Linked DNA regions of Diceros bicornis minor. The main gene of each other region encodes a partner of the protein of the gene in region 2 in a complex. Links are inferred from orthologs where the notes say so. Each region holds a gene or a part of one and is shown on either strand. Other genes may lie near its edges. The genes, in order: ITGB6, TGFB1 and TGFBR2.

What was found.
Region 1: the proteins of TGFB1 (region 2) and ITGB6 are in contact, whole or in part, in a crystal structure (PDB 5FFO), measured with the Homo sapiens proteins. The link is inferred for Diceros bicornis minor from reciprocal best matches to the Homo sapiens genes TGFB1 and ITGB6. Residues at the interface, in NP_000651.3 of Homo sapiens: Pro70, Gly71, Pro72, Glu75, Leu158, Asn237, Gly245, Asp246, Leu247, Thr249, Ile250, His251, Met253, Asn254; in NP_000879.2 of Homo sapiens: Ser142, Ala143, Ser144, Asp146, Asp147, Pro196, Cys197, Ser199, Ile200, Pro201, Tyr202, Lys228, Lys231, Ile232, Ser233, Ala234, Asn235, Ile236, Asp237, Thr238, Glu240.
Region 3: the proteins of TGFB1 (region 2) and TGFBR2 are in contact, whole or in part, in a cryo-EM structure (PDB 9FKP), measured with the Homo sapiens proteins. The link is inferred for Diceros bicornis minor from reciprocal best matches to the Homo sapiens genes TGFB1 and TGFBR2. Residues at the interface, in NP_000651.3 of Homo sapiens: Arg303, Lys309, Trp310, His312, Tyr368, Tyr369, Val370, Gly371, Arg372, Lys373; in NP_003233.4 of Homo sapiens: Phe47, Leu50, Phe53, Asp55, Ser72, Ile73, Thr74, Ser75, Ile76, Cys77, Glu78, Val100, Asp141, Glu142.

The regions. Positions count from the first base shown.
Region 1 is NC_080749.1:42,771,698-42,775,442, forward strand, and holds the start of ITGB6 (integrin beta-6), read right to left. Parts: upstream 2,741-3,745; 5' UTR 2,735-2,740; coding exon 2,690-2,734; intron 2,582-2,689; coding exon 2,506-2,581; intron 1,765-2,505; coding exon 1,685-1,764; intron 1-1,684. UniProt on the Homo sapiens protein: Integrin alpha-V:beta-6 (ITGAV:ITGB6) is a receptor for fibronectin and cytotactin. It recognizes the sequence R-G-D in its ligands. Internalization of integrin alpha-V/beta-6 via clathrin-mediated endocytosis promotes carcinoma cell invasion.
Region 2 is NC_080773.1:15,351,752-15,355,496, forward strand, and holds the start of TGFB1 (transforming growth factor beta-1 proprotein), read right to left. Parts: upstream 2,397-3,745; 5' UTR 2,384-2,396; coding exon 2,029-2,383; intron 1-2,028. UniProt on the Homo sapiens protein: Transforming growth factor beta-1 proprotein: Precursor of the Latency-associated peptide (LAP) and Transforming growth factor beta-1 (TGF-beta-1) chains, which constitute the regulatory and active subunit of TGF-beta-1, respectively.
Region 3 is NC_080741.1:34,751,013-34,754,757, forward strand, and holds the start of TGFBR2 (TGF-beta receptor type-2), read left to right. Parts: upstream 1-913; 5' UTR 914-1,311; coding exon 1,312-1,405; intron 1,406-3,745. UniProt on the Homo sapiens protein: Transmembrane serine/threonine kinase forming with the TGF-beta type I serine/threonine kinase receptor, TGFBR1, the non-promiscuous receptor for the TGF-beta cytokines TGFB1, TGFB2 and TGFB3.

The DNA.
Region 1 (3,745 bases), on a different chromosome or scaffold from region 2:
ACTGTGTCACTGCTACCACCTATAATCAACATCTTTGCCAAAAGATCAGAGGTGATGGTAACCATAGAACCTATTTCCTATCTGCTCTAAGCAGAAGCCTGATTTACTTTTTGCTCCAACTGCCTCAACTGATATAACTACTTCTATTAGGGTGAACTATTTTTTTTTTTTTTTTTTTTTTTGTGAGGAGGATCAGCCCTGAGCTAACATCTGCCAATCCTCCTCTTTTTGCTGAGGAAGACTGGCCCTGGGCTAACATCCATGCCCATTTTCCTCCACTTTATATGGGATGCCGCCAGAGCATGGCTTGACAAGCGGTGCGTCAGTGCGTGCCCGGGATCCTAACCGGCGAACCCCGGGCCACCGCAGTTGAGCGCGCGCACTTAACCACTTGCGCCACTGGGTCAGCCCCTATTAGGGTGCCCTTTTAGAATAATCCAGCCTTAAAATTTGACAATAACTTGGCTACCAAGTATCATCTACAAGTCAAGCTATCACTAGTAACCTAAGAAGCCCTCTTAAATGAGTGCTAAAATATGTATTTAAAAAAGAATTCTAGAGGTGGGCATTTTGTTACACAGATCTGTTATCTTATGTCTCAAGTATGAACCTAATACTGTCTTCTTCAAGGAGTCAATGTCAAAAAAATGTGGGTTTTTCCCTCTTTGTCTATTCTCAAACCTGCTTTTGATACTTGAGCTCAAAAAAGGATAATTCCCTCACACTTTTATTTGTACCCCATCAGTCAACACAATAGTGGGGGAGTGAGTGGGGTGTGTGTTCTGTTGTCTGTGAGGCCTTTCTCCATGGATGCACATTCCACTTGGAATTTGAGTTTTAATAGTTATAGCCTGGTCCTGCATCAAGCGTCCAGGTTTGTTCCTCTTTGAGCATCCTACTCAGTTCTTGCTGAACCTGGCATTTGTATGCTTTGGTTTGTGTTTAGATTCTCTTCATGAGATTCAGCAGAGAACTGTTTTAAATCCAGAGAGAGCTAAGGCAGCTCTTTTTTGCCAAGAATCATTTACAGATTGCACTATAGTGTCACAGGAGGCAGTGACTCAGGATGGCTTGTTATATAGTCCCCAACCCCCTTATACTACTTTCACATAGTTTTGGGTTTAATCAGATAAGGAATGTCTGTTTCAGGCTTTGTCGTTGTTGTTGAACAGAGTCATCAAGCTCATGAAAAAGTAATTTTTAAAAGAATTGGATAATGTCTGAACGGTAAAGTTTACCCCAAACCCAGAACACTTTTCTTGGAACCTAGCAGTGGTTCAGAATGGATCCTGGTGCCCAAGTGGACTATAACTATGATACTGAAGACGAACGTATGTTTAACTTTAGAAAATATCATCTCCATGATCTCTGATTACTCAGAGCCTCAGCATTTTACATGTAACCAGTTAGAAATGGCTTTAAAATAAGAGGAGGAATCAGGTTAAACAAAGGATCTTGAGTTAAGTATTTTTCAGAATAATTTGACATTCCCTCCCTCCACAAATTGCTTTTGAAAGTAATCACATGAATAATGCTTTGATCTACTAATGCTTACATTTTCCCCTCCTGATTTGTTTCACTCCTATAACCCCACAGAAAGCAGGACAAATCAGAACCATCACTGATGGAATTAACAGACGTGTAACTGCAGTTTTTATAAACATGTTGAGGTCATTGGTTTTACCTCCTGAGAACACCAGGCACACTGAGGTCCAATGAGTAAGCAGTCTTCACAGGTTTCTGCACCTCCCACAGCACAGCCACCTATGTTTAAATCCAGCAAGACACAAGGGATTCAGCACACTCTCAGTCACTCCATTTACGAGCCTTATGGCTTTTAAAGTACTTGAACAAAACAATATCAAAATTTATTTTAGTCTTCAATGATCAGTCCTCAAAATGTTAGCAATTCGTAAGAAAGTTCATATTTTACATTCATCACATTGAAAATATGTATGTCTTATTAGCCAAAAATGATCATTCTCTTTTTTCTCAAAATATGAAAAGATCTTAATGTTCACAAATATAGCATAATCCTATTTATTATCCTCATTCGACATCATCCACTTTAATTTTTTAAAATCATTTGCATGCATTAAAAAATGCTTCTCTCTTAATTGTACTCTATTTTTATTTTTAAAATAAATCCTTTTTCTCTCTCAAGATTATTGCTCTTAAGTGGAAGACCTTGTTGTACAATAAAATATCTAGAAAAGTTACCAAAATGGTTGTCATAAAAATATTAAGAAGTCTCATTGTACAGTAATGCTGTTTAATTCTCCTCATTAAAATGCCCATGCAACCTTTGTGTTTATTTACCTTAAGCCCAGAGCGTTCTCTGTGGGAACAGCCCTGAGTCTGCCTGTAATTCGTTAGTGTTCGCTCAGTGGCAAAAGAGCAATTGAACAGATCAAAGAAAAAACGACTTCAGATTTAGTTCTGAACCAAATGACAGGTTTGTCAAACATACCACGAAAGCAATATATCGGAGAATTTAGTTCTTACCTTGAACGTGATCATTCCTTCCTAGAAATAGAAAGAACAGGCAAAGCAGTTCAATCCCCATTCGTTTCAGTTCTCGCTGTGCAGACAGATTAAAAAATGAATTACCTTCAACATTACCAGGTCAAAGCTGAACATCGTTAAAAGTCTTTCTTTCTTGAAGTGTAAAATTTTAAATACTACTTACACTGCTTTGAAAAGAAACTTGAGATGTAAATAAAAACGTTTTCATTAAGACTGAAATGAAAACAGAGGCTACCTGGACAGGTAAAGAAGAAAAGCTGTGTTTAAAAGCAACTTCAACATGATTTACTTCCTTGTTCTCCTTATAAGGAAGGCAGGTGTACGATCACCAAGAAGGTGGGGAAATTCATTCAGTAGAAATTTTTGTGTAAATTCTATTAGTGTCTCTGCATCCTAGAGAAAGTTAATAGCTTTAGTGAAATATTGATCAGTAAAATGTCAGAAGAGCAATTGAAATATGATCTAAAGTTGTTTCTAAAATAATTTTAATTTAATGAAAACAGTAAAGATGATAAATAAAACACAAGTATATAATATAGTTATATATAACAAGGGTTTTAAAAAATGAACTAAAGGAAAATACCTGAGATTTTTGTATTCCATTGTTAAATCCTTTGCAGAGAATTGAAATGAACTCTGAAAAATAAAAATCATTATTTTACAGTCAAATTAGAAGGCACGTTAGGGAAAGTAAAACACTGTGTTTCCTGGTTTTTCAAATTGGATGAAAGATATTTTTCCATAAGTATAGAATTCTTAATTAAAAAGTGATATTGGAAATAAATATATGGAAATTAAATTAGCAAAAATTAGATTGTCTCAAAACAACCACAATGGCAGCAGAAACAGTAGTGCCCAGGATTCTGAATCCCTCTGGCAAGGGAACAAGTGCTTTTTCTCCTGTGCTGTCCCAGCTTCTAGCTCACCTCTTGGCACATAGGACGTATTTATTTGTTGAATGAAAGACTGACAAATTTAAAATATATACACTTTATGGCTAAACTCGTAAGGTTGATTATATATTTTTCTCCAATGTATTGAGGAAGGTGTTTTGGGATTTGTAGAAACTGCGAACAGGTAAGAATGAAATATACAGTTCTCTAAACCCTATAAACTATCTGACCTTAAACAGGCTTCTTTGTGGCTGGGCTTACATCCCGGGAGATTATCTTTTAAAGGTGTATTTCAAGACAAGCATGTGAAACCTGTGAAGAGAGGA
Region 2 (3,745 bases):
CACCTGCTTTAGGCCTCAGCAGTGGGGGTGCCGAAATGGTGGAGACAGGATCTGATGAGAAAGAATGGAGGAAACCCCTTCTGTGGGCCCCATTCTCCTCCTCCCCCCCACTCTAGCCAGGCCAGCCCCCACCCCTCACAAATAAGCCCTATCTTGGCCCAGGGGTTACTCAGCAACCCCCAAAGGAAGGATAGAGCCCAGCCGGGGAGACAGATAGGCAGGAAAAGAGAAAGGAGGAGCAGAAATGGTCAGAGGGAGAGATGGAGAGACCACAGAGACAGGGAGAGGAGAGGAATTGGGTATGGAGGAGAAAAAGAGAGAGAGAGAGAGGGAAGAGATGGAGAGACACAGACTGGGAGACCCATACAGGGACAGACAGAGTAATGGGGATGCAAAGAGATGAGAGACAGACACACACGGGAAGAGAGACACAGGGTTTGCGGGCGAGATGGAGACAGTCCGGGAGGACAGAAGGCGATCGAAGGTACTATCAGTGTTAGAGAAATCCCTACAACGAAGGTGAAGCGACGACGGAAAAGAAGGTGAGACCGAGATGTGTGTGGGGAGCAGCGTCATTTGGCTGGAGCCGCAAACTAAGCGCACGAATGGGTCAGGGACCCACAAGTCCACCGCCCAAGAGAGAAAATGAAAGCAGGGGGACCGCCCCCCAACCTCCCGCCCACCGGGACGCCTGGGTCCCCGCTAGGGCGCCGAAAGGGCGGGCCCAGCGGTAGCTCCGCCCCGAGCCGGGGTGCAGAGGGCGGGAGGCGCCGCCGCCGCGAAGGCGGGGACCCGACCTGCCTCGTCTCGCCCCAGGCTCCGCGCGCGATCCCCGCCCCCCCGGGGCACGGGAAGGAAAGGGAGGGAGGGAGGGCGAGGTGGCCGGACGCTGGGGTTTCCCCAGCCTCCCAGAGAGGAACTGGGAGTTTGGGGTCCAGGTTCTCAGCCTTTGGCTCTGCGGGGTCCTCCTCCCTCCTTCCGGAAGCGCAGGCTCCTCCCCCCGCGCGTGGCACCCACGTGGGGCTTCTTCACCCCTACCAGCTCAGTTTCCTCACCCCGATCTTGTAGAGTCGTACCCACCCACTTCTCCCCCTACGGCTCGACTCCTCACTGAGCTCACTTCTTTCCATACGGCGGCATAGGGGGGGCTCGCTGCTCCCAGCACGGCACCGTCTCTCTCTCCTCCGCCCCCCTCCCGGGTCCACCTTTCCCACGCTTGTCTCCCCTCTCTGTAAACCCCTTCCCACGACCCAGTATTCTAGGTTCCCCGGGGGCTCGCTTCCTCTGCTGGGCTTCCTCTCACGTCCCCATGCGAAATACTGAGGGCACCTCCCCGCGCATCCCCGGCACCCTCCGGGGTCTCCGCTTCTCTCCCACTAGCTTTCCCCTCCCTACGACCTCGCGTCCCTTTCTTCCCCGAATTTACACCCTCCTCACCGTCTCTCTCTCTCTGGGCCCTCCCCCAATCCCGCGTGCTCCTTGCGCCCTCCACAAGCGGGTCCACTCTCCGCTTTCCTGACACCTCCGGGATTCGCTTCACCCAGCTTTTCTGTCCTTCTTGAACCTCCCCGCCTCACGACCCCTGAGCTCTGGGTCAGCTTTCCGCACTGCCTCTCCTTTCCCAAATGCTGGGATCTTCCCGTCTCCCAAACAGGGCTCCCACTCTGCAGCCCCCCACCCCACGACCCCCGCATTCTAGTGCACCCTGGAGGGAGAAGTCTTTTTCTATTCCTCCCCCGAATTGCTTCTCTCTCTCTAGGGGACTTCCCCCACGATCCCGCATGTTCCTGTCGCCCTCTAGAAGCGGTCCACTTGGCTCACTATCTCCTCTTCTTCAAGACCAGATACCTGGTGGGGTAAGGAGCTCAGCCCTATCCTGTTTGGGATCTCCCTCCCACGTTCCTGGCGCCCCCGGGGGTCCTCTTCCTCCAGCCAGTTTTCTCCGCCAGTATTTTCCTCCCCATGACCCCCGCACTCCGGCGCCCCCTGGGGGCTCCCCTCCAGGGTCCCCTGCCCCTCTGAGCTCACCCTTGCTTGTTTCCACCATTAGCACGCGGGTGACCTCCTTGGCGTAGTAGTCCGCCTCGGGCTCGGGCTCCGTCTCGGCGCTCTCCCCGGCCACCCGGTCGCGGGTACTGTTGTAAAGGGCCAGCACGGCCTCGGGCAGCGGGCCGGGCGGAACCTCCCCCTGGCTCGGGGGGGTGGCGAGCCGAAGCTTGGACAGGATCTGGCCGCGGATTGCCTCGATGCGCTTCCGCTTCACCAGCTCCATGTCGATGGTCTTGCAGGTGGACAGTCCGGCGGCTGGCCGGCCAGGCGTCAGCACTAGTAGCCACAGCAGCGGCAGCAGCAGCGGCAGCAGCCGCAGCCCGGAGGGCGGCATGGGGGAGGCGGCGCCCCCCGGCACTGCCGAGAGCGCGAGCCGGGCTGGGGTGGGAAGAGGGAGGCCCCACCCCTACAGGGGCTGGGGGGGCTCCCGAGGAAAGGTAGGAGGGTCTGGGGGGAAAAGTTGAGGCCCGCAGGGAGAACGGAGCGGCGGTGGAGGGGAGGCTCTGATGGGTGGTTTCTCGGTATCCCACCGAAGAAACCCAGATGGGCGAGATCTGGTACCAGAGGTGGGTGGTCCTGAATAGGGGAGCTGTGGCAGATCTGAGCGAGATCCCGTCTCCCGGATCCCGGAGAAGGGTCCTTGGGCGCGCAGGGGCTCAGGAGAGAGGCTGGGGAGAGGGCGTGCAGGGGGGTGCGCCCGAGGTCTGGGTCAGGTCTTCTTGGGAGTCGGGTTTGCGGCTCCTGAGGGCTGGTCCGGAATGAGGGCGCCTGGGGGACGCCGTGTAGGGGCCAGAGAGGGAGCAAGAGTCCGAGGCGGTGGGGGGGCGGTCTGGGGTCCCCAAGTCCTGCCTCCTCGCAGGGCAGCGCCGCGCCAAGCGGTCCCCGCGCCTCCAGCTCCCAGCGGCAGCGGAAAAGTCTCAAAACTTTTTTTCCTCTTCTCCCAACCAGCTCGTCCCTCCTCCCGCTCCTCCTCCCCCTCCTCCTCGCAGTGGCGGCGGCGGCGGCGGGGGCGGCGGCGGCTGGTCTCAGACTCTGGGGCCTCGGGCTGCTCCTCGGCGGCTCCTTCCTCCGCTCCGGGCCGAGGCCGGCCCCGTGGGCCGCTCCGAGCCGGGGGGTGCCCCGGAGGGGGCGTCCCCCCTGGCCCCGGCCGGGGGCCTCGCTGTCTGGCTGAGCCGCGGCGGGCGGAGACGGTGGGACGACCGGGGCGCGAAGGGCGGCGGCGGCGGCGGCGGGGACCGGCTGGGGCGGCGGGGGGTTTTGAAGCCGCCCCGGCCCCACCCAGGAAGCGCGCGGGGCGGGGGCGGCCCCCAGGGGGAGGGTATGGGGGGGCCGGGCCACCGTCCTCATCTCGCGTGGGCGGGCTCCGAGGGGGGTCCCTTAAGCCCTGGGGGGAGGGGGCGGGCACCCCGGCTCCGCCCCACAAACAGGGTGCTGCCTCCTGGCGGCCGAGCGCTACCAAAGCGCTCCCAACGACCGGGATGCGTGTAGCTTTGAGGACTGTGCGGGTCAGCGAGAAAATGAAGACCTGGCCTTAATCAGAGGATGGGGACACAGCGTACAGGGGATCAGAGAAGGGGGACCCCGGGCAGAGAGAGTGGGAGGCTGAGGCAGAGGGGACAGGGTCAGCCAGAAGACGGGGACCCACTGGGGAGAGGGGGACAGAGGAGGGGGACCCCCAAGGAGAGACAGTCATAAG
Region 3 (3,745 bases), on a different chromosome or scaffold from region 2:
TATCCAAACAAGACACATGGGAAAGAGAATGTGTCTTGGTTGGATAATGATTAATTTCAAAACAGATGTACACCAGTATAGTTCTGGGCAAACCTGGTCACCTTAGCAAGAAGAGAAAGTTGAAAGTTTATTCTGTCCGCCTCCCACTATTTCCCCTATAGCAGAGGAGAGGATAAGCTTTCTCTCTCTTCATGGGCACTACTGGAATGCAAACACTGGTATTTAGCTGACTCCCAGGCCACTTTCATTTTTACATTTTCTACTGTACTTGATACATTCTGAAGATAAGATTTCTCACCATTATCACTCTGTAATGGCTGATCATTTACAATTACTCACTTAATCACCCCCAGGAAGAGGCAGGTCAAAATGGGAGGCACCACCCAAGAGCTCATCAGAAATGCTGCATCCTAGATGTACTGAATCAGAATCCGCATTTTAACAAGATTCTCAGATGATCAATATGCACATGAAAGTTTGAGAAAAAACGTCCGGACTTCAACCTACAGTAAGAAAACCTTTTTACAATGTGACAGTGTATGCACACATAACCGAAACAAAAGTTTGAGGCAATCCTTACTCTTACTATTTTATTAGGGAAAAAATGTGCTCACAACTCATTAGATTTCAGCATCCACTCACGGGTCGTGACTTGTAGTTTGAAAATACAACTCTAAAGCACCTAGGAACAATCCCAAGAAGGTTGGGGGCGGGGGAGATGCTTCGTGGGGGTGCTATGGAAAGGATATACACTTTCTCTGTTCAGTTACTTTCTGAAACGTGTGCACTTAGTCACTCCGGAGTAAATCCTTGGAGCGAGGAGCTCCTGAGAGCGGTGAGGGGCAGCTGAAAGTTTGCCAAAGCCCTCAGAGGGGCTGGTCCAGGGGACGTGATTGGCAGCTACGAGAGAGGGCGAGGGCTGGAAGCGAGCAGAGGGAGAAGGCTCTGCGGCGGCGAGAGGTCCTGCCCAGCTGTTGGCGAGGAGTTTCCTGTTTCCCCCGCAGCGCCCGGGTGAAGTTGAGTGAGTCACTCGCGCGCACCGACCGAAGACACCCCCACGCGCGCACACGCCCGGGGCAGGAGCCGGCCTCCTGCGCAGCTCCCCTCGGCCGCCGGGGGCCTCCCTGCGCCTCGCCGGCCTCCAGGCCCCCTCCCAGCTGGCAAGCCGGCGCCACATCTGGCCCGCACATCTGCCCGGCCGGCCCGGCGCGGGGTCCCGAGAGGGCGCGGCGCGGAGGCGCAGCCAGGGGTCCGGGAAGGCGCCGTCCGCTGCGCTCGGGGCTCGGTCTATGACGAGCAGCGGGGTCTGCCATGGGTCGGGGGCTGCTCAGGGGCCTGTGGCCGCTGCACATCGTCCTGTGGACGCGCATCGCCAGCACGATCCCACCGCAAGTTCAGAAGTCGGGTGAGTGGCCCCCAGCCGGGGCTTGGCGGGCCGCCGGGGGTCTCCCGGGCTCCCCGCCCCTTCGCCGCGCTTGACAGGCGGCCCCGGGAACGCAGCGCTCGGGCGGAAACGGGACGGTTTCCCCTCGCGGCACCCACGCAGCCCGACTCCCTTGGCCGCAGGGACGTGAGTTTTTCTTTAAAAAGAGAAGGAAAGTTCAAGTGGAAAGGGGCGCGGGGCACGTTTGGCCCCCTTTGTGCGGGCAGGAAAGGCGTTGTGTTGGCCGCGTTCGAGGCGAGCCCCCACCCCCGGAAAGGGAAGTTTGAGAAGTTGGTTATCTGAAGGAGGCAGGGGAGCAGCGGCCCGGAGCGGCGGCCGCAGAGGCCGCCAGAGCAGCTGGCACACCTGGGCCACCGCGCCCCGCGGCGATGCTGCGTGCCCACGCCGGCTGGCCGAGCCACCCCCTTAAATGGCCAGTTACTCAATCCTTAGCCCCTGGGAAGGGCCACACACTCCCCCAGGCCGGCTTCTTGGCCCGGAGTTACTGTAGGAAAGTTGCAAGACAAGAAGCTCTTTCCAAAGGAAAGTTATCCGGCTCCACTGACGGCTAGGCGTGGATGGGGTAGGGAGTGGAGGTTGTCAGGTGGAAGGCGGAGAGTTGTTTACTGAGTGCCTACTGGGTGCTGGGTGCTAGGTGCTGGAGATGGTGCCTGGAGCAAGACAACCCTGCCTTCCGGGAGTTGACGGTTCTCTGCAGTAATCGTTTGGTGGAAACGGAAGGGTTAAAATCGTAAATCCGCTGCCCACCTGATCTCTATCTCTAGAGGTTTTTGAGGGGGAAAAATGCAGGAATTGAGTTCTTAAAGATTTGTTATGAGAAGCATCGAACCCCTGAGACCTGAAGAGTTAGAATTTTTGCAGCTAGGATCCACATTATTGAGAATCTGCAGCTGGGCTGTGGGTAACGGAGTATTTGGACCTTTCTCAGGCCTCAGTTTGCTCATCTGTAAAGTGACGCGGTTAGATTTGGATAATTTTACATTACCTTCATCTTTATCATTTTATGTCCCTCTCTTCCCCCTTTGGTGACTTGGAGATGCCCTGTGTGGATGTGGGATGAAATGTATTGGATTTGACAGTCCACATCACCCTGAGGCACTCTTTTTACTTACCAAGGGCTGCACAGGCTTTCCTTTAGGTTTGTCTAGAAAAAATATGCACCAGGTTCTAAATGGTACATTTCAGGGTATTTGAAGTGGATTGAGAACTTTTTAAGATTATGTTTTATATTCAAAGTCCCATGGAGGTGGGAGTTTTTAATGGAATGAGGAAGAAGCACTTATTGTAAACAAAAAAATCCTAACATAAATTTGAGTTCTACTGTTTAATCAAATCCCAGTGTTTCATTCTCGGCTGTTTTTGTATACTGCAGTACTAGAATGTTCAGTTGCTTCTGATTATACCCCACACTCTTAAAAATTGAGTTATATTTTGCTAATAAATATTTTAAATGGCACCCTCAATTTTCTGTGTATGTTAAAAATCACTAAAACTTTTGTTTCAGATTACGAAAGAAGGAAATTAGCAGGCTCTGATTTTGTTAGGTTTTGTTTACAAGGATAAGATTTATGATTTGCAAATTCCAGACTCAATAGTTTATGAGTCGGTTTCATTTTATCTACATACACACTTTTAAACAATTAACTTAAAAGCTTAGGGGCTTTTTATTTGGGCTTTTAAACAGTTTTCCAAAATGCACAAATTTTATGTTTTGTGGAATTAAAGTTTCAAAATGGTTGAACTAAGGAATCATTTGAATTTGTATTCATTTGAAATTAAATTTTTGAAGATAGTTGAAGGTAACTATAATGAAGATGAGAAACCTGATTCCATGATTGCATTTTAATTTTCCATGTAAATAAATGGTTTCAGAATTTTTCTAACATAATTGGTACACTGTCAAAACATTTTTCAAAATATCTTAATGCATGATAAGATATGAGGAAATGAGATTATTTACAGCCTCCTATTAGGTCACCTAAAAAAAAATCCATCTTCTGTGGAGTAGATTGACAAGCAGATAAAGGATCTCAGTCTAAGAACAAACTTCACTAAGAAATATACTTAAAATTTTTTAAAGTTTTGTTTTTGACTTAGATTCACTCTTCCTAAATGCTCAAAATTAAGTAATTACTCTTTTGGGGAAAACTTTCAATGTCTGAAAACTCTTCAGATCTGAAAAATGTGACTTTTGCTTTTCAAATACCTACCAAGAGATGCTTGTTGATGACTCAACGTTGGTAAAAGTGTCATGTGGATAAACTTCTTTCTTAAAATCATGTTAAAGATATGCTTGATTTG